Diceros bicornis minor: one gene and its partners. The protein of the gene in region 1 purifies or fractionates together with the protein of each later gene. This does not show direct contact. Links are inferred from orthologs where the notes say so. Each region holds a gene or a part of one and is shown on either strand. Other genes may lie near its edges.

What was found.
Region 2: the proteins of ALK (region 1) and SHC1 purify together in Homo sapiens (affinity purification with mass spectrometry; 3 studies listed by BioGRID and IntAct, with this or other methods). This does not show direct contact. The link is inferred for Diceros bicornis minor from reciprocal best matches to the Homo sapiens genes ALK and SHC1.
Region 3: the proteins of ALK (region 1) and PLCG1 purify together in Homo sapiens (affinity purification with western blotting; 3 studies listed by BioGRID, with this or other methods). This does not show direct contact. The link is inferred for Diceros bicornis minor from reciprocal best matches to the Homo sapiens genes ALK and PLCG1.

What each region holds. Positions count from the first base shown.
Region 1 is NC_080751.1:53,198,709-53,207,197, reverse strand, and holds the start of ALK (ALK tyrosine kinase receptor), read right to left. Parts: upstream 3,353-8,489; 5' UTR 2,580-3,352; coding exon 1,907-2,579; intron 1-1,906. UniProt on the Homo sapiens protein: Neuronal receptor tyrosine kinase that is essentially and transiently expressed in specific regions of the central and peripheral nervous systems and plays an important role in the genesis and differentiation of the nervous system.
Region 2 is NC_080743.1:58,916,644-58,924,157, reverse strand, and holds the start of SHC1 (SHC-transforming protein 1), read left to right. Parts: upstream 1-4,092; 5' UTR 4,093-5,525; coding exon 5,526-6,020; intron 6,021-6,594; coding exon 6,595-6,665; intron 6,666-7,195; coding exon 7,196-7,259; intron 7,260-7,394; coding exon 7,395-7,514. Other genes in the region: CKS1B (cyclin-dependent kinases regulatory subunit 1), read right to left, coding at 1,862-1,920. UniProt on the Homo sapiens protein: Signaling adapter that couples activated growth factor receptors to signaling pathways. Participates in a signaling cascade initiated by activated KIT and KITLG/SCF.
Region 3 is NC_080758.1:19,442,681-19,450,335, reverse strand, and holds the start of PLCG1 (1-phosphatidylinositol 4,5-bisphosphate phosphodiesterase gamma-1), read left to right. Parts: upstream 1-4,233; 5' UTR 4,234-4,329; coding exon 4,330-4,546; intron 4,547-7,655. UniProt on the Homo sapiens protein: Mediates the production of the second messenger molecules diacylglycerol (DAG) and inositol 1,4,5-trisphosphate (IP3). Plays an important role in the regulation of intracellular signaling cascades.

The DNA of each region.
Region 1 (8,489 bases):
ACTGGAATATATTCTTCAAATGCACTAAGCGTGGGACTCTTTAGAGACATCCACTGATAACTTCACGCTACCTGCTTGTATACAGTAGGCAAGTTCAGGGCTGCAGAAAAGACCCCTTTTTCCTGTCACCAACATCTGACAATAGCTGATATAGACTACTGGGACCTATGGTCATTTAACAAGAGATGATGGGAAAGCTCCAGAGATGCTCATAGACATGAAAGTGAAAGAAAATCTGCATTTTTAGAGAAGTCATTTTTATATCCATTACAAAAACATTAGGCACTAAAAGAGAATGTTGCATGTATAAACCACAGAAGCCACAATGACTTTAAAGCACTGCTGTTCTTTACAAAAGTATCTGTGGTGAGACAACAGTATTGGTCTCCTATCTCAGCTCACAGAAGGCACTATTAAACTCATCAGACCCTGCCTCTTACTATGGACTAATATAAATTCAAACATTGAACACAAAGGGGTCATTTTAGAGGCCAATGCCACTAATGCCAATGCTGAAATATGCATCCATACTCTGTTTTCCTTGGGGACCACATACCAGTATGTGTTCTGTGCAATGGCTGAGGAACCTCAGCTTCTGAATATCTCTCCTGCATGAGAGTATTGGGTGTATGTGGGAATGTGTGTGTGTGTTGGGACAAGCATGGGAGATACTTGTAGCTCTACAATGGGCCTTTTTCAATGCTTTCCATCCAATTAATACTAGACATTAGTAACCAGTGGAGCATAAGAATTTCATTTATTTCTGGCGATGAGAATGATAGAAAAGAAACTGGGTTTGCTCAATGGAATTAGTGTAGGCTTTTAAAAGGCATGATTTCTTTTCTGTGCTGTCTCCTTCATTTACATTGTATATTTCATTCACAAGTCTTTCCCCAGTGGTCTTACAAGAGAAATATCCATTGAAAACCACCTGGATTTCCAGTCAAAGGATACTATGGGAAGAGTTAGAAGTAAGTGCCTGTACACACACCCCCAACTCAGTGAATATGAGAAGAAAATGAGAAGGAGATGAAACAGAAACCTCATTTCAGGAGTCTCCAGCAGAGAGATCTGCAGTGAAACAGGCCTGCCAGAGACTGTCATCCAGAGCTGCTGCTGCAGACATTCAAGCTAAGAATTGGAGGGAAGGGAGGGGGCAGGGGAAGAAAGGCAGGGAAATCAACTATTGTCTCTCCCTGGCTTCACAGTAACTCCCCGAAAGCAAGACAATCTTGGCAACTTAGCCCCCTCTCTCCACATCTCCCTCCAGTCCCCTGCCCCTTAGTTCCTCTGGGGTTCTCTCAACGACATCTGAGAGGAAGAACAAGAGTCTGAGAATGGATAGCAGACTGGGGTGGAGGGGTGGGCAGAATGAATTAATGAAGCAGAGGCAATCCCTAGGTAAGCCAGCATTTGGAGGGGACAGCTGAGTAGGATTCAAAATATGAAGAGGAATTCTATATTCCCTGAGAAAGTGTACCAAATTCCCCAAATCTGTGCTGACAGAAAAGAGGAATAGGAGGAGGGAAGAAGGGCAATAGTTTTGAGATCTAGAACTAAGCTTGGAACATCGAAGTAATAGGGGCATTTCAACTGTCCCAGGGGCCCTGGAACAAGGAAACCCAGTTTTGGCTGGGACCTTGTATAAGTCGGTAGAAGGAGGCATTCTGCAATTCTGCCAGGAAACTTTTCTCCCAACTTGGTTGCTGGAGAGGAAGGAAGACCCTGGGGACTGACTGCGTTCGGGGAGAAAATATGATCTAACTGGGGGAGAAGGTTTGCGAAAGAGGGAAAGAGGGCTAAGAACCAGAGGCTGAGGTTTTGGAAACGGGGGTTAGTTGATAGTGATTGCAAATTGATGTGACTAAAAATCAAATCCCGACACGCTCATGCGAGAGCTGCTCACCGGTCCCAAAGATCTGGAAGAGAAGGCGGGGCTGGGAAGCACGGATCGCCGCGGACAGCCTTCCCTCTCTGCCCACTTCCGACGCCTTCTTCTCAGGCATCAGGCGGATCCTCAGCCGCCCTTCGCCGTGGCGAATCCACCAGCTGAACAGCTCGCTGAGGTTGAATTGGAGCAGCCCCGCAGCAGCCTCCTCTGGGGGCCCGGCGCAGCCCTCAAGGATCGCCGCCTCTCCCAGCTCCAGCACCAGCTGCTTAGCGCGCCGGAGCTTGCGAACGGAGCCGCCCTTCAGCACCCTGGACAGCGTCCGTGCCGGGGCCGGGGCAGGCGAGCCGGAGACCCCCGGCCGTGGCCCCAGCAGCCTAAGCAGTGGGGCGCAGTCGAGAGCCAGCGAGCCGCGCGCCTCCAGCCGGCCGGCCCTCGGCTCCGAGGAGGACGGCGGCGGCAGCAGCAGGTCCCGGGCATAGACGCGGAAGAGCGAGGGCACCACGAAGTCCACGGCCAGGCTCTTCCTCTGCAGGCGCGAGTAGCTGAGCGGCTCCCGGGGCTGCAGCGCCGGCCCCACGGCTGGTGAGCCCACGAGCTGGCCGATTCCGGTCCCCGTCCCGGTCCCGGAGCCCGAAGCTGCCGCTGGAAGCAGCGGTAGCAGCAGCCATAGGAGTCCTATAGCTCCCATCCCGCCAGAGGAGGGTTGCTTATACTAGTCTCCTGACTCTCCGGGATCCAGCCTCGCCTTCGCTTCCCCCGAAATGGGAAGGGGCTCCTAACAGTCCTTGGTCCTGAATGGCTCCTTCCACCTGATCTCTGGGGGATTGTGCGTGCACTGGATTCTCTTGCTTTCCACCAATTGCAAGGAGGCGAGCAGGAGTCTCAATAAAGCGGGTCTGGAAGCTCAGGGGCGTGTCAAGAGACCCTGAAGCGCGAAGGGCTTCGCAGCTGGGACCCTGTGCCTTTCGCGCGCCGCGCCGAGAGCCGCGCCCCCGTCTGTGGCTCGCTGCGCTCTGGAAAGAGAGCAACTACTATGGTCGAAGGGAGGTGGCAATTGGGTAGCGTCCTGTCCCGCCCCCCGCGGCCTGAGCTGCGGTCTGTCCGCTCTCGAGCAGCCTCCAAGCCTCAGCAACTTTCCAGCTGGGAACGGCGGCTCCGAGCTGGTGTCTGCTGTCCTGGACGCCTCCTGCGCTCCTTTCCGTTCCTCTGAGCTCCTCTCTCTCGTCTGGGGAGGAACCGAGGGTACGGGCTGCTTTCTGGCGCACCCTCCTGCGACCTTCCGCAGCGGGGAGTCTTCGGACTGCACTGCTCGCTGAACTTCTGGGCCAGAATTGAACCCCCGCGCTGTGAAGCAGATGCTCAGGCCGCTGCCTCGCAAGTTTGCAGCGTCCTTGCTCTCCTCCCGCGTCTCGTCTCCTTAGAGTTCTCCGACACCAAAGCGGCCCCGGAGGCAGAAGCGGAACGAAAGCGGAAAGAGAAGCCGAAATCTCGCGGCCCCCTCCTCATCCATCGGCAGCCTCTGCGACTTCGGGTAGCTGGCCAGAGGGCGGCCAGAAGGCGGCCCGGTGCCCCGCGACCCTCCGGACAGCGGCGGCGGGAGGTGCCAGCTGCTACCGCCGTTGCCGCCCCCAGAGCCGCTCGATCGCATCTGCCTGGGTGCCCGCCACTTGCAGCTGGCGGAGCCGCGAGCGCGCGCTGGGAGGGGGCGGGGCCGCGGCCGCAGCGGGGGCGGGGCTCGAACGCCAACTCCGCGCCGCTGCCTGGCTCACGCAGGCCCGCCCCGCCCCGCTCGCACCCGCCAACCAATGGCGCGCCGAGGTCGGCTCCTATGCAAATCTGCAGAGGCCTTGGCATTCATTGAGAAAAGCACACAGCCCGCCCCGCCCTGCATCCCTCTCCCCTCTCTCCTTCCTTCCCCTCCTCCAGATTCCCTGCCCTATTTCTCCGCTGTGTGAACAGGAGCCTGTTTTGGATAAATGGGAGGCCTGCAAGGGGCCTTTGTAATCAACCACTCTTTCTAATTATGCATTTAGGAGATTAAATGGGTCCCACTTTGGAAAAGCGGGTTATGGAATAAAACTGGTGGCGAGGGGAAGGGAGGAGGGGCAGCACGACATTGCCAAATCCCAGAACAGCTTGGATTAGGGCCCTGAGACAGAATCTTCTCTAACCCTTCCACTATTTGAAAGCATTCCTGGGAACCTGGTGGTCCCACCATCTACGCAAGAAAAGTTGGCAGGGTGAGAGTGTGGAGCGGCCGCGATCTGGCAGAGTTCTTCAGCTACAACTAATATATTTCAGACCTTTCAGTCACCCTGCGTTTTCTCAGAATGGTGCTTGAACATGTATCCTTTAGTCTCTGCAATGTAAGTATTTGAAATTCCAGTTTTAGAGATGAGAAATATGAGTCACAGAGATCTTAATTGATTTTCCTTGGGTCACATAGTCATATGTGCCTCCCAAGCCCTTACTCATGTGCTCTCACCACTGCTCTGCTATATCTCTCCACTAGCGAGAGGCCAAGAAGATCTCGTGGTGACTTACCTAGAAGGGATAATGATCAGACACTCTTGCTCATAGCCTTGGGAGTAAGAGGTCAGAACTGCAGGCCTTTTTTAACTCACCTGTGAAGTAAGGACTGTAACTCTGGTCTCTCTTTCCCTTCATCTCTCATGAGCTGCCAACACAGAACTCAGACAATGGCTGTGTTTATAACAAGTGGTTCACTAGAACCTGAGACAAAACTACAATCTCTGGTTCACACAAATCCTTCCCTTCCTTCTTCTCAAAAGTTGATTGTCAGGCCTTGTGAAAACTGACAGAGCTAAAAATAAGGCAAGGTCCCCCCTTGAGGAGCTCAAAGCCTGGCAGGTAGCAGAAGAGCTTCGTCACAGAGTCGGAGCACAGAGCGGAGTTGAAGCTCCCTCAGTGAGCCGCAAAGGGCTGCAGTAACTTGCCCACCGCCCCACAGGAGGTGGTGGCCAAGCAGACCTCTGCTTTCCCAGGCTTGGCTCCTCTGAGCATTGTGCTATTGCCTTTGGCAGTTGGAAGACCTAATAACAAAAGAATATTGATTCTCAGAATGACTTGCTTCTGCCTCTATGTTTGACAACTCACTGAATTTGACAAGCAACTGGCCTCTCCTTGAAACTTAAACTGGATACACTGACTTCACAAGTTCAAGGACAAAGAATGATCTGACCCAAGTAGAAGAAATGATGCTCCTACCTTGGTGGAGGAAGGCGGGAGGGAGGGAGAATGAGAAAGAGAAGAGGAAAGAAAGGGTGTGGAGATGAACACTTCCCTAGTATGTGAGCATATATGTTTGCATTTTCATTTCGCTGGCATGCACACTGGTGGAAGAATAATCTTCTATTTGAAATACTAAAAGTACTAAAATGCAGGCTGTTGCACTCCCCACTCCATCTCTTACTTCTGTATATAATTCTTATCCAAAGTCAAATTGACTCTAGTAATTTATCAATAACTATAAATTTTCTGCTATAATCAATGGCCACTAGGGGGCTGCAGAGACTTGAAACTTCAGATGAGCTGCCAGGGTTTAACATTCTCCCAGATAACATCCATGACCATTTACCTTTGCACCTAGTGGACACATGGGTCTCAATTAATTCTCATACTTTTATAAATTCTCTCAAATTTCCCCCAAGGAAGGACAAGTGCTTCTCCCTGTAGATTAAATCACACCTAATCTCAAAAATGTTGTTCCCTTTTTGTTAATTTAAAAAAGGAGGCAGGAACAAATATTGATAGACTCTATTGGTTACTATACTTATGTATCTGTAGGAGTGTGTGCCTGTGTGTGTGTACATGTTTGTGTATCACATCACACAGTGGCCTTTTGGAGGAAGATATATATTATTATTTCCATTAAAGAGACAAAACAGTTAAGGCTCAGAAAGGCAAAATAATTTGCCCATGGTCAAACAGCAAGTAAATAACAAAATTGGAATTCGAACCAATGATTCTTTTCCTCCAAAATTTACATGTCCCACTGGAATGAATTAGGCTTTTTCCTTATGCCTACAGCTATAATTTTGACACCTCTATCCTATATCGTTGCCATCTAGAGGATGGGAGATAAGAAAGTATAGATGAGAATGTGCAGAAGATGGGAAAGAGCAAGTGGGGCAAACAGAGATAGAAAGATAAAAAGTGTGAGCATAAGTGATAGCTAACACGTCTTGTGCACTTATTATGGACCAGCATATTTCAAAATAATTCTCATGCATTATCTCATTTAATATTCACATTAACACTCTGAGGGGAAGTAATAATATCTCTATTTTACAGATTACAAATGGAATGGCCCAGAGAGGGCAACTTCCCAACAACAAGACCACACAGGTGACAAGATCTGTTACACGATTTGAACCTGGATATCTGACTAAGAAGTCCATGCTCTCAAATCCTGGGCAACCTCATAAGACAAAAAACGGAGTGGGTGGAATAGGCTGAGATGGGCAGCGGTGAACAGAGGAAGAAATTGAAAGCCTGACTCAAAAAGAGACACACAGAGGGTGGGAGTGGCGGGGAGAACAGACAGGAGATACTGGGAGCCCCGAGGACACAGCTAATAAGGTGAGCTGCTCTGGGTCACCTTGGCAATGACTTGGGCAGTTAAGTTGAGGAGGGAGGAAAATGAGAAGACCAGGTACCAAGAGAGGAAAGGGTCAAGGTGGATGCTGAGAGCAGCAAGACCCACCTCAGGAAATCCCCCACTTCTGGAAAGGGAGAAGTGGACCACTCAGTTAAGGAGGGGTCTGAATTCTCTATAGGGGAAGCAGTAATATAAACGGCATTTCAAATCCAAGCAGTATGACTTAAGGCAAAACACATCTCAGAACTGCAAAATCTGACTGAGACCTAGATGATTAATTAAGTCAGGCATTCAGTTGGTCAAGAAAAAGGAGGAGGGGGAGGAGAAAAGGGAGAGAAAGAAGGAAAAGAGGAAGACGAGCAGGAGAAAGAGGAAGGAGAAGGAAGAGAAAAAAGACAAGAGAACAATCAGTAAGTGAAGCTGAAGTAAGGCATGAGAAGATGCTTACTGCTAAGACATTGGAAACCCACAACCAGCGTAGCTTACCCAGGGCCAAGAGCAGGAATTGGGACCCACAAGAAACATTCCAATGAACTGGGGATTTGGGTTCAGGAAAGTGGATTTCAATCACAGCCTTGCCTCTCAGAGGCTCTATGACTTTGGGAAAACCCTTGGCTCCTCTGGGCTCATGTATCAAATTAGAAGGACCAGATATAGTCTTTAAGACACATGTCCACTCTGAAATTCTGTGTGAGATTCTCCAAGTGACTAAAAGCTCTCGTCCAAGACTGGGGACAGGAACTAGAAGGAGACTATGAACTTTCAGGGGAACCAGGAAAAGAACTTGGACCTATCACTGGCCAGAGGAAAAATAAAACAAAACAAAAACTCCTTTGAGAAAATGTCTCTGCCACTAGACAAACCTGAGCTCTGAATCTATAGTCTGCAGTCTTCTAATAATCATCATGCTAAGAAGAAAGCAAAGTTATTAATTCAACCATTATTTATTAGGCACCTACTGTATGCTTGGCTTTCCATAAGGTGTGGAGGGGAGATACTGTGGTGAACAAAACAGTCAAGGTTCTTACCATCATGAGGCCTTGATAAAATTAAATGAAAAAAACCCAGAATACAAAATTGAATTCATGCCTATCTTACAGTTAAGCAAAAATTACAAATACAAAAAAAAAAAAAAACATAACCAGAGGAAAACATTGAAAAATAGACTTACTGGGGTGGCAGAATTGTGGGTGATTTTTTTTCTTTATACAAATGACTTTTAATGGTTTTATATAATAATAGAATTTGATTCCTACAAAGAAAATTTATCAGTCAGGATAGCCAGGTTACGTTGTAATAATAAAAAACCACCCTCAAATCTCAATAACTCAAAAACAATAAAATATATTCTTCTCATAGTCCATATCCACTTCGGGTGAGCAGAGGGCTCTGATCATCATAATCATTTAGGGATCCAGGCTGATGGAGCCGCCACTATAGTAAACTTGGAGGGTCTTGCACCAAGAACTAAATACTCCAGCCTGGAAAGGGCACTTGTCATTTCCACTCACAGCTCTTGCTGGAAATATCCATGTGGTCCTACCCTATCATGAAGGGCCCACAAGGTAGAGAGTTAGAAATGTCTAGCAAACAACTTCATTGACTCCCAAGGAAGGAGAAAACCTGCAAGTGTTGCATTAGATAACTTAGACCAGGAGGGGTCTAGCAGACTAGAGATACCCGGAGGAAAATGACCTTATTCCCCTGGGATCCCAGTCACCAACAGATAGCACAGCCTCTCAGTCTGTGCATACATCATAGGGGAAACAACACAAGAGCTCAGACAGCTCTCATCCCTCCCAAGGCACGCTATGAGAGGCCACACAGACACAGAAAAAGCCCTTCTCAAACACTAAAGAGTGACAGTTCTCTCTTGGAAACTATAAACAATGTCACATTTACTGAAGAGAGAGAAACAACAAGAGAGAGATCAAAGCAAACAGTTCACCACTGTGTATTTCACAGCAATCCCGGTGT
Region 2 (7,514 bases), on another chromosome or scaffold:
CTCACAAAAGTATATTAACAAGTACAACCTAATGAATAACCCAAGTGAACAAGCACCTGAGTTCCAGGCATGTTGATACACTGCCTCTGCCTTCTCAGGGCTTACAGTCTTCCAGTTGATTACCCTAAAACAATATAATGGGAGCCCCACAGCACACACACTATTAATTATTAAAGGTGGTTTGGAACAGGATTGGTAAGGAGGGGAGAGAGGTGATTTTGTGGACAAGAAAGGCCTATTATGGAGTGCTGTGTGGAACAGCCATCACAAAGGATGAAACACAAATGTCTTATCCTTTAAAATATATCCTGAATCTCATTTTCCTAACTCTGAAGGGATGTGCCATGAGACGTCTTTTGGGAAACTCCATGTTCCCCCAACCAAGATAAGTCTTCTTTCATGGCAAAGAAATTATTACCCTGACTTCAATCAGGCTAACCCAGATCAACTTCATCACGCTCAGTGAAAATTTACTAAATGCACTCTCTGTGCTAGTAACAGACATTTTTCCAAAGAGATAATTCTAGTCTAAATGTCTGAAAATAGCTTATATTCTAACAAGCCCCTGGCACAAAGTTTGGCTTCAATACCTAATTAGACCAAGGGGAAAAAAAAAACAAAACAGAAAACAACTTTCTTAAGCCAAAATACCACTGCCAAGACTTACATCTTCCAGAGGATCAAACTAGTGACTTCTCCCTAGTCCTGCAAAGATGTTATAGGCAGTTTTAGTTAGCTTAGCTCAGATGTAGAGGAAAACAGCTGAGGAAGACAGTTAACTGGATCCAAGCAGAGCCTGGGGTCTTTTCCCAAGGACCTGGCATAAAGATGGTTATGTATCTGTCAGCACACACCGAGTTCTCCCTGCATTATGTTGGAGAAGAAACACAAGAAAAGCAATTTCCATTCTATGTTCTTCAGTTGAGAAGATACAAACTAGGAAGTTGTTTAAAGTATTACACCTAATACAGGTTAGTGGAATGACAACATTTCTAGAATTTTTGTCTTCTCTAATTTTCCAATCTAGAATTATGGATTTAGGATTTATCAAATGCAAACTCCATAGGGATTCCTTTCTTCACCATCCTTGGCCAAGTCCTATCTCTACCATAGGTGCTCCCATCTCTATCATACCAATTATCACTTTTTTCTGAAGTCTGTCAGTATTTCACAGATTTGTAGGTTTGTTGAAAGCAGAGACCATGGCTTACCCTTGCACTTTAGCAGAACACCTGAAACCTATAAGCACTCCATAATTGTTTCCTAAATAGATGCCCTTCAAATATTTGAAGGGCATGTATTAGGTTCATGTTAAGTCTTTTTTCAATGTTCCTGGCCAGTTTTATTCCACTCCAATTCCTCCAAGCTCCTTTCCTAAAACAAGCCAGACAACTACGTCCCTTTTCCATGAATTAATGAGCAGCACTCAGGCTCTCTCAGAACTCCCCTCGCATTGAAGACGCGAGGAAAATTCGAGCTCCGCCTTTGCCACCTTTTCCCAGTAGGCTCTAAGGTTCTATGGTGTTGCCGTGATACGAGCAGTCAGGGCAAGTTCAACTTGCTCAATAAAGTTGAAGGTTCCAGAAACCCGCAAAGGTGAAGGTGGTCAGCAAGCTAACACTCTAACCACGCCCACCTACACCTCCTCCCAACAGGGTCGACTCCAAATTCACTACCACTTTGTTTCTTTTACAATCACCGCCCACCCTTCGCGCATGCGCCTTACGCTCTCAACTATCACGCCCGTCCCGTTAACCTCCGCGCATGCGCCGATTCTGTCGCTTCAGTCCCTGTTACTAACTCCTTGGGTCCTCATTTGTCAAAACTCACGACCTCGTTATGGCCCCCCGCCAGCACTAACCGGTATTCGAACTCCTCGTCGTCGTATTTGTCCGAATAGTAAATTTGTTTGTGCGACATGATCACTCTGCCTGAAGACCGCCAGCTCCGCGCCGCCAACCTCCAAACAACTCCCAGCAGCACGCGCTCCCACCCTCCTTGGCCTCGCTTTCAAACACGCCGCTCGCGCTTCCTATTGGCCCCTTTGGCTTAAGGCGGGACAAGTCCACCTTCAAGCCTCCGATTGGCTTGGATTTGCTTCTCCTCGAGTCCTTATTGGAGTGCACTTCTTACGTTTCTCAAGAACGAGCGTAGCTCAAAAATAGGCCTCTTATTGGCTGTCGCTGCTCCCGTGCGCGTTCTCGCGCTGCCATTGGCTGATTCGGGAAAGTGGGACGGGTGAAGGAGGGACGGTGAGGTAGAGGGTCAGGGGTTAGTGAGGCCGGAAGTGAGTGCAATAAAGTTTCTCCAGGGAGGCCAGGCCCGGGGAGAAAGTTGGAGCGGCGACCTAAAGAGGCAGTGGCGTGATCCGGCACCAAATCTGCCCGCGGTGCGGTGCGGAGACTCCATGAGGCCCTGGTGAGTTGGGACTTTTTTTTCTCTTTTGATGACCCACTCCTCCACCCCGGAACCCCTCTCCGGGGACCCTACTTCCGGTCTTCATCTATAAGTCCCGCCCCCAAGACCCCCTCTCCGGAAGTCCCACCTCCCAACTTCAGGGGGCTCCCCGAATCCCCACTTGTTTTATATTTATTGTCTCGGACCCCACCCTGTCACCCAGTTTTCCTGGAAGTCCCACCCCCAGACACGCTTCCAAGGCCTACTACAAGAAGCCTTACGTTAGTCCTTCCAACTCCCCGAAACTCCGCCTCCTCGCGACGATTCTCCGCTAACTCCTATCAAAAAGCCTATCTCCCAAAAGCGCAAAACCCTGCCCCTCACAGAACTACTGTATTCGAATTCGTGAAGCCACGCCTCCCTATGGGCGCCGCCCCTCTAGAAGCCCCGCCCCTTCCTCAATCTACATCTGATTGTCCAGAAGCCTCGTCTCCTAGAAGTGTCTGATGCACGCGTGCTAGGGGACCACGCCCCCTCAGGAGCTTTATCCCTGTGGGACCCAGGTCACGCCTTAGAAGCTTTGTCTTCAATCCCAGAAGCTCCACCTGTTTCTCTTTTGGGCATTGGGCTCAGTTTCCTGAGCTCTCATGCTCCACCGCGTGGGAAGTCAAAGTTCCCAACGCTGGCTCTGAGGAGTGCGAGATTAGAGGCAGCCGTTTTCCTCTCCCTTACCCCCTTCCAAGGCTGGACCTACTTGAAGGGGGCTGGACTTGGGGTTTGGCAAGAGAGTGGGAGAGAGACTTGCTCATAGATTCCCAGCCCCACTCTGAGTTTCCCTTCCCAGGACTGACTCCACCCCAGAAACAGCTGTGTCTCATACCTGTACCTCGGGAGCTGGGTGGGGCCATGGATTTGCTGGTGTGTGACGGGAGCGAAAGTTTTCTACCACCAGAAAACGGTAGCTTGGAGTGGGTGTAGGGGACAGTGTCCTTTTTTGCTGTTTGATTCTTTTAAGGGACTCCTCAGCCCCCACCACTTCTCTGGCTCTTCCCCTTCTCCTAACCAGAGTTATTGTCTGGGCATTCCTCCTGGTCCCGCTTACCCAGCCTTCCCTTCTGGAAACATTCCTGAGGCTTTCGCCATTTCCTGCTACTTCCCACTGCTCTTGCCTCCTCCTCCCTGCTGGGCTGAGAAGCCACACGCAGCTTCTGCCCCTCACCCAATCACTGGGACTCCCAGTAGGCAATCTCCTTTTTTCCTATGCAAATGTTAGGAGCCCTACTTCCTCTTTCTTTTCTTCCAAATACCCACACCTGTTGGCCATTCCCTGCCTCTAGATCCTGCAGGCTCCCACAGAACGCCAATCTCTAAAGATGAGGACATCCTGGTGTGTGTGAGTTGAGGGTGTGAGCCTATGGCAGAATCCTTTCTTCATTCTCTCTGTCCCTGAGCGCAGAGGCCTTAGGAAAAGCAGTGATAGAATTCCTTCTCAGGAGTGGTAGATGGAGTGACAAAACTCTCCTTGGATGAGGACCAAGGGGAGCTGAAAGAGTTTAGCACAGTGTCTAACACGTTTTAAGTGCTAGTAGTGGCAATCACTATAATCTTATGATTATTTGTGAATTTTTATCTTCTGAAGTAAATCTAAGAGTAGAGTAATTCCGAGGTGAGCCTGGGAGGTAAATGTATTTTTTACTATTTATTTTTTGGTTACTTTCCAACTTCCTCCATGGCCCCTTGAAGCAGAGCTGTGGCAGGAAGTGTGGGTGGAAGGAATGAGTTTGGGACTGTTCCCTGTGTCCAGCATCAGCCCATCTTCTCCTGTCACCCTTTTCTCCCGTACTTAGCATAGATTTGTCTTCTGTCCCCTCTATCCCTTCATGGCCTGTAGCACCCACTTCTCTTGGAGAACTGTTTCACTTTCCCACCTCCTCTGGCCAGATCCTGCCCCTGATGTGAGGGGCACTGTGCTCTATGGTGGACACCTGCACCCTCCCCAGTCACACTACAGGAGGAGTGTGAGCATACCTGGCAAGTCCAGGGAGCTGAGCTTAGTGTCAGTGCCCTGCCCACCCCCCCACCTCCCTTCTACCCTTGACAGCTTGCTTTGCTAATGAGGCTTGTGGAAAGGAGGGACAGAAGAGTGCTTGGCCGTGGGCCGCTGCTCCTTGGCATGGTAGGTGCCATGCATAGAGAACAAGGCTCCCTCAGCCTGTCCTCTGCTCCAGCTCCTGCCTGGTGGCTCCCTGATGCACCGCCCAGGTTGGATGTTATTTTCCTTACTTCACCAGCTTTGCCCTTCCTCTTGGCCCCTCTGCATCCGCTGGGACCACTTCCTTCCTTTCCCGTTTCTTTAGCTCCAGTCCACAGCTGTTGTAACAGAGGATGCTAATGGCCCAGGCTCCCTGGGGCCACCACCCCACTGTGTGGTAGTGGTGGGGGGTGGCCTGGGCTGGAGGATGGGGGAATTTGAGTGTTCAACCAGGATAGGAAGGGAAATGCTGAGCTCAGGGATCCCCTCCCTTTTCCACCCCCAGCTGTCTCTGTTTCCTCCCTCATTCCCCTCTACCCTCCCTCAGCTTCCTGCTCCCTTTGGCCTGCCCATGTCCGGTTTGGATTGATCTAGACCTCCTCTTATCTCCCTCCTTTCCTTTCACTCCTCCGTCCTTCCCTCCCACACCCACTCCCACTTTACTCCTCCCCAGATTACTAATTGTTTGTATGGGGCAGGGGGGCATGGAGAGTTCTACCCCTGCAAGGGTTCTAGGTTGGGGCACTGGTGGGGGCTCAGCCCCTCGGAGCCTGTGAGTCAGCACTGTCCTCGGGATTGGTCTCTCCCCTTAGCTCCCCGCCCCTGGGGAGGAGCCAGGCAGCTCTAGGTCCAGCCTGGTCTCTCTCCTCTCAGCCAGAGAAGAGGCTCCACGCTGGGCATAGATGGGGCCTGAAACTGTCTGGGTCTGAGCGGGGGAGCCAGAGCCACTCGTCCCTCTCCCTTCCCAGGACCCCTGAGATCTCTGGGCCATAGAGGTCCGATCAGGCTAAAGGCCTGGGGATGCCCCCTGCCTGGCCCCCTTGCCCTGACTGGCAGGGGGGCCGGGCTGGGCAGCAGCCTCCCTCTCACTCCAGCCATGGATCTCCTGCCCCCCAAGCCCAAGTACAACCCACTTCGGAATGAGTCTCTGTCATCGCTGGAGGAGGGGGCTTCAGGGTCCACCCCACCGGAGGAGCTGCCTTCCCCATCAGCCTCATCCCTGGGGCCCATCCTGCCACCTCTGCCTGGAGACGATAGTCCCACTACCCTGTGCTCCTTCTTCCCCCGGATGAGCAACTTGAAGCTGGCCAATCCGGCTGGGGGGCGCCCGGGGCCCAAGGGGGAGCCAGGAAGGGCAGCCGAGGATGGGGAGGGGATCTTAGGGGCAGCCATGCCGGACTCAGGCCCCCTGCCCCTCCTCCAGGACATGAACAAGCTGAGTGGAGGCGGCGGGCGCAGGACTCGGGTGGAAGGGGGCCAGCTGGGGGGCGAGGAGTGGACCCGCCACGGGAGCTTTGTCAATAAGCCCACGCGGGGCTGGCTGCATCCCAACGACAAAGTCATGGGACCGGGGGTTTCCTACTTGGTTCGGGTGAGTGAACATCTTCCCTCCTACTCCCTCCCAGACCCCTGCAGTTCCTCTGCTCACTTCAGCAAAGCTGGAGTCTTTTTTTCCTGCTCTCCCCCAACAACTCCCTTGGTTTCAGTGTCCTGTTTGTTAAACCTTTCTTGCCCCTCCTCCAATTCTGTAGTCCCTTCCTTTCCAGCTCTGCCTGGGCCCCCTTCCTTCTTGTGACTCTCCCACCCCCGCCCTGCCATGCTTAGCACAATGCCCAGCACATTGAAGGCCTTAGTAAGTGTTGGAATGAGTGACTCTTGATTGTCCCCTCCAGTCTCCTCCCCCTTTCTGGAGATGTCACTCCATCCCACCTAATGCCTGTCACTCCCCTCCAAATTCTCTTCCCAGATGCATGAGGTCCTCCTAGCCTGCCCTTTCCTTTTCCCCTCATTCCCTGTTGTCTTGCATGTTGTGGGATGTAGCCACGGGCAGTGGGCAGAACTTCATCTTTACTTCCCTTAGGGACAACGTAGGGGAAAGTCCTAGGGCCCTTTGAAGGGGTTGGGGGGAGGCGGCTGACTTGTTATCCTCCCATCCGTCCCCTCAGTACATGGGCTGTGTGGAGGTCCTGCAGTCAATGCGTGCCCTAGACTTCAACACCCGGACTCAGGTCACCAGGTTAGTGGGGGGCGGGGGGGGGCGGATTATGGAAGTCCTGGGATTAGTGCGGGGAGGTGGGAAGTGGGTCACTTGGTGGTGGTGCTAGTGATGGCTTATCTTAGGGTGGTAAAGGGGAGTGAGAGAAAGTTAGGGGAGTAAGTCTAAGTCTGAATGAAAAGAGGCAACTCTGGCCTGGATCCTCCTTACTTATCCAGCCTGGGGAGCTGTGGGGGAGGTGGCAGAGGCAGCTGGCAGCTGGAGCTTGAGTAGAAAATGGGGGTAGATGGAAGGTTGCTGCTGCCTTTGGGAAGGGAATGGGACATTTGGTAGCTGGAAAGGGGTGGGGCCATACCCATTGAGGCCCTAACCCAATCAGCCAGGAAGCGGCCTCTCAGTGTCATCAAATATTAAAGGCCCTTAATTCAATCCACCACGACAGAGAGCCTGGAGTGCCCTGGGAGTCTGGCCTGGTCTTCCCCTCCCCCAGCCCTGGGGCAGCCCCAGCCAAGTGGAGGCAAGCCTGGGTCTGAGTACCCCTCTTTCCCCAGGGAGGCCATCAGTCTGGTGTGTGAGGCTGTGCCGGGTGCTAAGGGGGCCACAAGGAGGAGAAAGGTACCTGGGGTCGATGGGCTAGCGGTGCTGCTGGGAGATGTGGAGGAGCAGGGGAAAGCAGGTGGGGGGCAGGATTGTGGTGGTCTCTTGGTGTTGGGAACCCCCAGCTTCTAAGACCCTTGGGCCCTTCCCTAGCCCTGTAGCCGCCCGCTCAGCTCCATCCTGGGGAGGAGTAACCTGAAATTTGCTGGAATGCCAATCACTCTCACCGTCTCCACCAGCAGCCTCAACCTCATGGCCGCAGACTGCAAACAG
Region 3 (7,655 bases), on another chromosome or scaffold:
ATCACCTCAGCTGCAGAGAGCTGTCTAGCAGAGGCTGTGCTCTTCCCAGGGCAGCCCACATCCAATGGCTGATTGAGGCGGGGCTATGAAGGCCCAGCCATTTCAAGCCAGCACCGGACCACAGAGCTCCCCAGGGGCTGGCTGAGGCTGTCATCAGGCCTGCCTCACAGTCTAACTACTCTCTGTGCCTCCTCCTGCTTCCTTCCTTCCCCTTCCACAGTGTTGAGCCCAAGGGCACTCCCTAATAAACATTCTTCACACTAACCTCTGTCATAGAGCCTGCCTCCCAAAGAACCCAACCTGTGACAACATTTAACCAAATAAATAAAAATAGAAAAGACATCAGGTAGGGGTATCATGGAAAAGGGTGAGGATACACAATAAAATGTTCATACCTATATGGGAGGCAAGGTAGCATTGACTCTGGAGCCAGGCTGCCTGGGTTTGAATCCCATCTCTGCCACCTCTTAGCTGTGTGTCCATGAGCATGTCTCTTAATCTCTCCATGCCTCGGTTTTCTCATCTGTAAAATGGGGATAATAAGAGTACATATCTCACTGTGCTGTAATGAGGAGTAAGCCAATGTGGGTAAAGCAGTTACATAAGGCTTACAATATGTCAAGCACTGTTCTAAGTGTTCGGTAAATAAGATAAAATAAAATAAACACCTATGAGGTCCAGAGGGACATTGGGCTAGGACTCCTCCCTAGACTCCAGGCACAGGTGTGGTGTGGGCCAGAGCATGTTAAAGCACGAGTGTTGACAGAAATAGGCCCAAGCAGGGCTAGCCTGGGCAATGTCATGGGCGTGTGCCTCGTGTGGGTGCTGGGCTGCTCCCTCCCAGCCGGTCCAGCTGCACACATTGCCAGTTACACCCACGTATCCATATATATATGCTGAGCTGGGGGAAGCCCATACTAGCCATACCCGCTGTGTGACCTGCTTTTCCTGAACCTCCTTTGGTGGAGGGAGGCACCTGAGGCCTGGGATGCTGGCTCAGAAGTCCCAGGAGGAAATGGGGCCCTGTTTCCTGATTAAGGGCCCGGCAGCAGACTGACAATATGAGCTCCTGTTGGCAGGGATTTCTGGAGCCCCTGGGGGCCCGGCTCCGGAGGCAAAAGCAAAAGCAAAAGCAAGGAAGTATGGGCTGCATGTCGGGAAGCTCTTAGAAAATGGAGAAACAGAGATTTTAAAAGGGCATCACGGCCTGCAGGCTGCCCAACTCGGCACAAGAAGCTAAACGAGGGCTGTAGCACTTAGGAGGGGACCTCCTGGAAAGATGGACAAGACCACATAAGCACAGAGGGGCCCCCACCTGTCTTCCTGGCCTCATCACCTCCCATGCTCCCCCTCACTTAGCAAACTAACCTTCTTTCTATTCCTAAACTCACTAAGTTCTTGCTGGCCTCAGGGCCTTTGTACATGCTGTTACCTCTGTCTGGAAAGTACTTTCCTCCAACCCACCTCTGATAATTCACCTGGCCATCTACTCACATCCTTTAGGCCTCTGCTGAGTCCTGGAGAAGTCTTCCTTGTCTACTAGATCTGAAGGAGGTCTCCTTAAAGTTTTATCTCATGGCCCTCTGTTCTTTTCCTCTGTAGCCCCCATCAAAATTGTCCCTACATCACAGAGTGTTTATCTGTTTAATGTCTATGAATTCCTGGAGTGCTGATGCTGGGTTTCCCTCATTCTCCCAACTCACGGCACCAATGTCTAGCACAGGGATGTTCAGAGGCCACAGACAGGGGCAGCATCACTTTAAGCCCAAGCCAGCCCAACCCACACTCTATGAGCATACACATTCTGCTGAGTTCCCTGTGCCCAGGGCCAGCCATGCCTAGGGCCTCCCCCACCCATCCTGATTAGCCAGCTAGCCTCCGTGCCCACTGGCTATGGACCGCCAGGACCTATTTAAGCCAGTGGCTCTCTTGTGAGGCAGAAAATGCATGGAGTCAGACAGACTTGGGTTCAAATCCCCATTTATTAGTTATGTGGCCTCAGAGCAAGTTGTGGATCTTCTCTGAATCTCAGTTTCCTCATCAGTAAATTGGGGACAATAATCCCTAATTAGAGGGTAATTATGAGGATCAGGTGTGACCACATGTGTACGCATTATAAGCACTGGGTCAACTTTAGTTACCTCCCTCCCACTTTAAAGGCCCGTCACTAGGTGGCAGACCATCTCAGCCACTCCACCTCCCCTTAGGTGGCTGAAGCCTATTAGCACAAGCATCTCAACTTGAGGCTGAATTCTCAGCCTCTTAGGGGCCACACTTGAGGGAATCAAAACATACACACACAAGTTACCACTACATCAACACAAAGCCAGAGGCAGCCCCAGACACTAGTCACCACCCAGCTGGGTAGAGTGCCTGAGCACACACTCACATACTCACAAACTCCAGGAAACCTGGATCTTCCTCTGGCATCAGCTGGGGGCTCTGCCGGGCTTCTCTCCTCTGAAATGAGGTAAGCTGTCCTGCTCTGCCTGGCTCAACATCTGTCAGCCAGGTTCCACTGTGACCGCAGGTGTTTTCGGTTTTGGCGGTGCGGGGCAGCCAGATTGCAAGGGCGAGTCTAAAGAATGGCTTCAGGAAGACAAAGAGTGTGAATCATTCAAATAAGCATAAAAAGGACTTGTGGCTGGAGAGTGGAGAGTGAAGGGGAGGTGGTGAGAGATGAAGTGGGGGAGAGAGAAAGGAGAGAGAAAAGGGCCAGACCATACAGGACTGGCTGGGCCAGGAAGGGAGTGTGGATTTTATGTGCAATGGGAAGTCACAAAAGGGTTGAGGACAGAGGTAGGGGATCATGATTTAGTTTCATTTTAAAGATTAAAGCATGGAGAACAGATGCAGGCAAGGCCAAGGGTAAACAGACCAGGTGAGAAAAGATGGGCCTTGGGCTTGTGGGTGTAGTAGATACCTGAGGGTAGAGTGACCTAGACTTGATGGACTGCTGTGGGGTTGAGGCAGAGAGAGGAATCAAGGATATGTCCAAACGGTTTTGGCCTAAGCACCTTACAGGAGTTTATGCCGTGTTCTGAGAAAGCAAAGACTGTGGGAGGCGCAGTTGGAGGAGGGAGGTGAGATGAGTGTGTTAAGTGGGGACGTGGAGCAGGCAGTGGGATGCAGGGGAAATACAGATCTGGCGCTCCAGGTGCCTGGGTTGGGGGTGAAGCCATGGGAAAGGTCAGGTCGCCTTGGGAACTGGCTCAGGACCCAGCCCAGAGGAAGAGAAGCTTCTGAGGCCGAAAGGCAGCGGCCAGAGAGGGAGGAGGAAAACAAGGGGAGTCAGGCCAGGAAAACAAAAGCTCCGCAGATCATTTGCAAGGGGGGGCGCGGTGAGGTAAGGCCTGAGCCCGCGCCCTGCCGCGTGGAGACAGGGCGGGAGGTGGGCGGGCAGTGGCCCCTGCGAGGGGCAGAGAGGAAGGTCGCCGGGGGCCGCAGGTCTAAAGGCCCTGCAGGCGATGCTCAGGCCGAATGACGGGACCCTCCAAAGCTACACAGGCCAAAAGCGCTGGACAGACGCGGGTCCCGCCGTCGCAGGAGCGGCCTGCGGTCCAGCCCTGCGGGACCAGAGAGGAGGGGCAAGACAGGCCTGCTGTCCATCAGAGCCCGCCGGCCAATCCGCAGGCAGCCCCGCCCCCGCCCCTCCCCTGAGAGGGCGCGCGGAGGACCCGCCGCCGCCGCCGCCGCCGCCGCCGCCGCCGCCGCGGGTGTGAGGCGGCCCGGCCTGGCCTGGGTCCCTCCGCCGGGCAGCCCGCCCAGGTAATTAGGTTTGGCCGGCGGGCCCGGGGGTAGCTCCGCATCCTCACCTCCTCCCGGTCGCGGCACGGGCGGCGCTCGGGAAGCGGGGCTGAGGAAACGGCTGCGGCTGGGCCTGTGCGGGACAGCGGAGTGGGCGGCCGCCTGTGCGTGTGCGACTGACTGCCGGGTCGGTGCGAGGCTGCCGCGCGTGGCGGGTCGGCAGTGGCCGCCAGGCCGTGTCCGGGGCCACGGGAGGGAGCCCCGCAGGACGGAGGTCGGGCTGGTGGCCCGCCGGCGGCGCGCGCGCTCCCGCCGCCATTGCGCCCCGGGCCTGTCCGGGGGGTCGCGGGGCGCAGGCGCGGCGGGCGGCGGGCGGGGGTCCTCCCCACGGGCGTGCGGGCGCCTTTGTTCCCGGCGCGCGGGCCGGGGCGGGGCCTGCGGGGCCGGCCCGCCCCCCACTCAGGCCCGCCCCGTCTCCGCCCGCAGGAGCCGCCGCCGGGGCCCGCTCGCCAGCCGCCTGAGCCGTCGCCGCCGCCGGCTCCCCCCTGCCCGGCCTGCGCCGCCGCCCCCCGCGCCGGAGCCATGGCGGGCGCCGCGTCCCCCTGCGCCAACGGCTGCGGGCCCGGCGCGCCCTCGGACGCCGAGGTGCTGCACCTCTGCCGCAGCCTCGAGGTGGGCACCGTCATGACTTTGTTCTACTCCAAGAAGTCGCAGCGGCCCGAGCGGAAGACCTTCCAGGTCAAGCTGGAGACGCGGCAGATCACGTGGAGCCGCGGCGCGGACAAGATCGAGGGGGCCAGTAAGTGCGCCCCGTCCCCGGGGCCCGCTGCGCGCGCGGGGGCGGTAGGGGTCGGCGCCCGGCTCCCGCGCGCCCCGGCCGGCCGGCCGCTGGAGTGACTTGGGCAAACTTTCAGGCCCTCCCCGCACCCTCCGGGTCCCGCCCCCGCCGCGGCCCCGGTGGTCACCGGGGGCGGGGGGCATCCGGGTCTTCAGTCACCTGACAGGACGCCCCCCTCCCCCAGCTCGGGGGAGTGTTCCAGGCGCTTTGCCCAGAAGCCTCAAGATCCTAGCGGGTTGGAGAGCAGTGGGGCAGGCATCGGGTCCCCCACACCCCGGGAGTGGTGTCCGCCGAGGCGAGGGGAGCCAAGGCAGCATCCCCCACCCAGGCCCAGGACTTGGGCCAGACCGGACGATCACCGCCCACCACCCTTTCTCCAAAAAGTGCAGTTTTGGTGAAAGCCGCTGGGACCCCGGGCTGGGCTCTTATTTGCAAAGGAACCTTTGGGTCACCGAAGTAGAACTTAGGCAGATGTTGAGGTAGGGCTGGTTTTGGAGCAGAGCCGGGCCTACTCGTCCCCCTCTGGTTTGGAGAAGCCTGAGAGAAGACAGTGGCAGCTTTTTCCCGCTGCTGCTTTTGTCCTGAAGCTGAATTTTGGAGGTCTGTGTGGGTGGGCAGAGACACCCAAAGCCAGTGCAGGGACTCTTGGTCAAGGGACCAGGCTCCCCGTACGCTTGGAGCTTGGTCCCAGAAAGGCCAGCCTCTGTGCTATATGGAATCAGATGCTCTTTTCAAGAGCTCGCAGCCTGTTTGGGGTCTAGCCCTTTGTGTCCTGCGTCCCCTGGCTGCAGGGAGCCGGGAGCGGCTACTCTTGATTTCCTGCCTCTTTGCCTTCCCAGGCCTGAGCTTGCTTGCCTTTGTGCAGGTCTCAGTTGGGAGGAGGGAGTTGGGGGATTTTGAAAAGCCCCATATATTTCAGAGTGTTACTCCACTTAGCTTGTGTCTGTGCCATGACCAGATGGGCACCCAGCTTTGCCCTCCATTCCTCAGCCTCCAGGTGTGAGAGATGATGTGTCTGCAACCCCACACTGTGGGTTGCTTCCTGCAGGGACCCCCAGAGACTGGTGTTAGAGCCAGGCTCAGAACTAGGTCCACGTGGAGGAAGGAGGGTCAGGAAGCGACACCCCCAAGGGAAGCTCCTACAGACCTCCTTGGGTATGGTGTACATGCACACAGATGGTTGAGGAGATTAGGAGGAAGGAAGGTCTTGTGGTGAGGCAGCCGTCCTCAACTACAAACTCCAGATCTGACACAGTTGCTGAACTTAGAAATGGCAGCTGCCCTCCTCCATGCCCCCATCGCCCTGTCAGCCATTTGGAGAAAATTTTAGTGATTTGAGAAACTGGATTCCGAAGTGGAGGAAGACAGACACTGCAGAGAGCTGAGATAGTCCCGGGAACATCACCCAGGCATCAGACTCCAGGCATGGCCCCTTGCTTCTGTGGTGCTCCCTGTGCTCTGCTGAATTGGTGTCACTGGTTCCCAGTTATTGGCTGGAGGTTCCCAGGTAGAGATCTCCTGGGTAACAGGCTGCATTTCAGACCAGGTGCGTGACCAGCAGCTAATAAGTGCAGCACAGTGGTTGAAGGCAAGGCTGGATTTGAAGCCCATATATTAGTTGTGTGTCCCCGGCCAGTTACTTACCTTCTCTGAGCCTTAGTTTCCTCAACTGTAAAATGGGAGTAATATATCGACTGTATATGGTTGTTCTGGGCATTAAATGAGAAAATTGATGTAACAGGTAAATAGCACAGTGCCTGACACGTTGTAAATGTTTAATAAATATGAGCTGTTATTAATAATAACAGTAACAGTAGTAGACTGTGGCTGCCCTCCTAGACCCTGGACTGGGAATGTTGAGGGAGTTGGAGAGTGGCTGTCGGAGCGGGTGAGGGTGCAGGAAGGGAGGAGGATGGGGACCAAGTTCATATTTCACTTAGATCACTACCCGGAAAAGGGGAGGAAATGGTTTTGTTTTGCCCCAACCCATCTACTCACCCATCCACCCACCATGGAGAACAGTGTATAGAGTAAGTATATGGAGATGTACACATCTGACTTCTGGCTGTGACTTTCTTATTTGTATGTTGGGGCCTGAACAGAAGGAAGGGGTGTGGAAAGGGAAGAGTTTAATCCATGGTGTCTCAGGTCTTTGGGGGATGGAGGTAGGAATGCAGAGGACCTGATGACCCCAGTCCCCAAGGGTGGGTCAGCCAGAGGGGTACAAATTCAGTGGTCTCATCAGTTAGCTGGGATTTGAGAGGCCTGGAGCGTAGGCACAGGGCATAGAAGGTGCCTTGGCCCTTTGATTTTGGAGGCCTGGATTGAAGGAGTCTGGTAAAAAGGCTCTTAGGTGCTTATGTGCAGCACAGACCTTGGAGATGGAGCCTCCCACTGAGCTGCCCTACTTTGCCCCTTCATGAGCACACGTCGTTGGTGCTTCTGATCCCAGCAGCCACCCTCTGCGGGCTCTGAGGAAGGTTGGGCTGCCAGCTGGGTCCCCTGCCACCTAGCCCCTTGCCCAGGTGCCTCAGGTGCCTGGCCTTTTCCTGCTGACCCTGCCAGGGTACCACACAGTGCCTGTAGCCTGACCAAAGAGAGAGACACTTCTGCTACCCTCAGGGTGTCCGTGGCCCTGAAAGAGAGCCAGTGTGATGCAGTGGGCGTGCACAGCACTCGTGTATAGTCCTCGTTCTGGCGTAACTCTCAGCCCGCTCACTTTACCACTTGTGAAATGGGGCTGGCAGCTGCTAATTTCTAGGCAGGTAGTTTGGCTCAAAAGAGGGGTGGGGAAGTGCTTTGGTGCCCGTTGTCATGGTGGCGTGACAGGAACCAGGTTGATGTTTGGCTTTTTATGTTGCAGATACTGACATAAATGAATACAAACCAGTTATAGACTTCCTGCTGTGTGCTTCTGAAACTTCACCACTTTTTCTTGGCTAATTCTCACAGGGGTCCTGGGGGGTGGTCCCAAGTACCATCCCATTTTACAGATGAGGAAATGGAAATGCAGGGAGTGCGTTATGCCACGGGTGATAGTCCTGGTATGTGACAGCCTCTGCTGGACCCA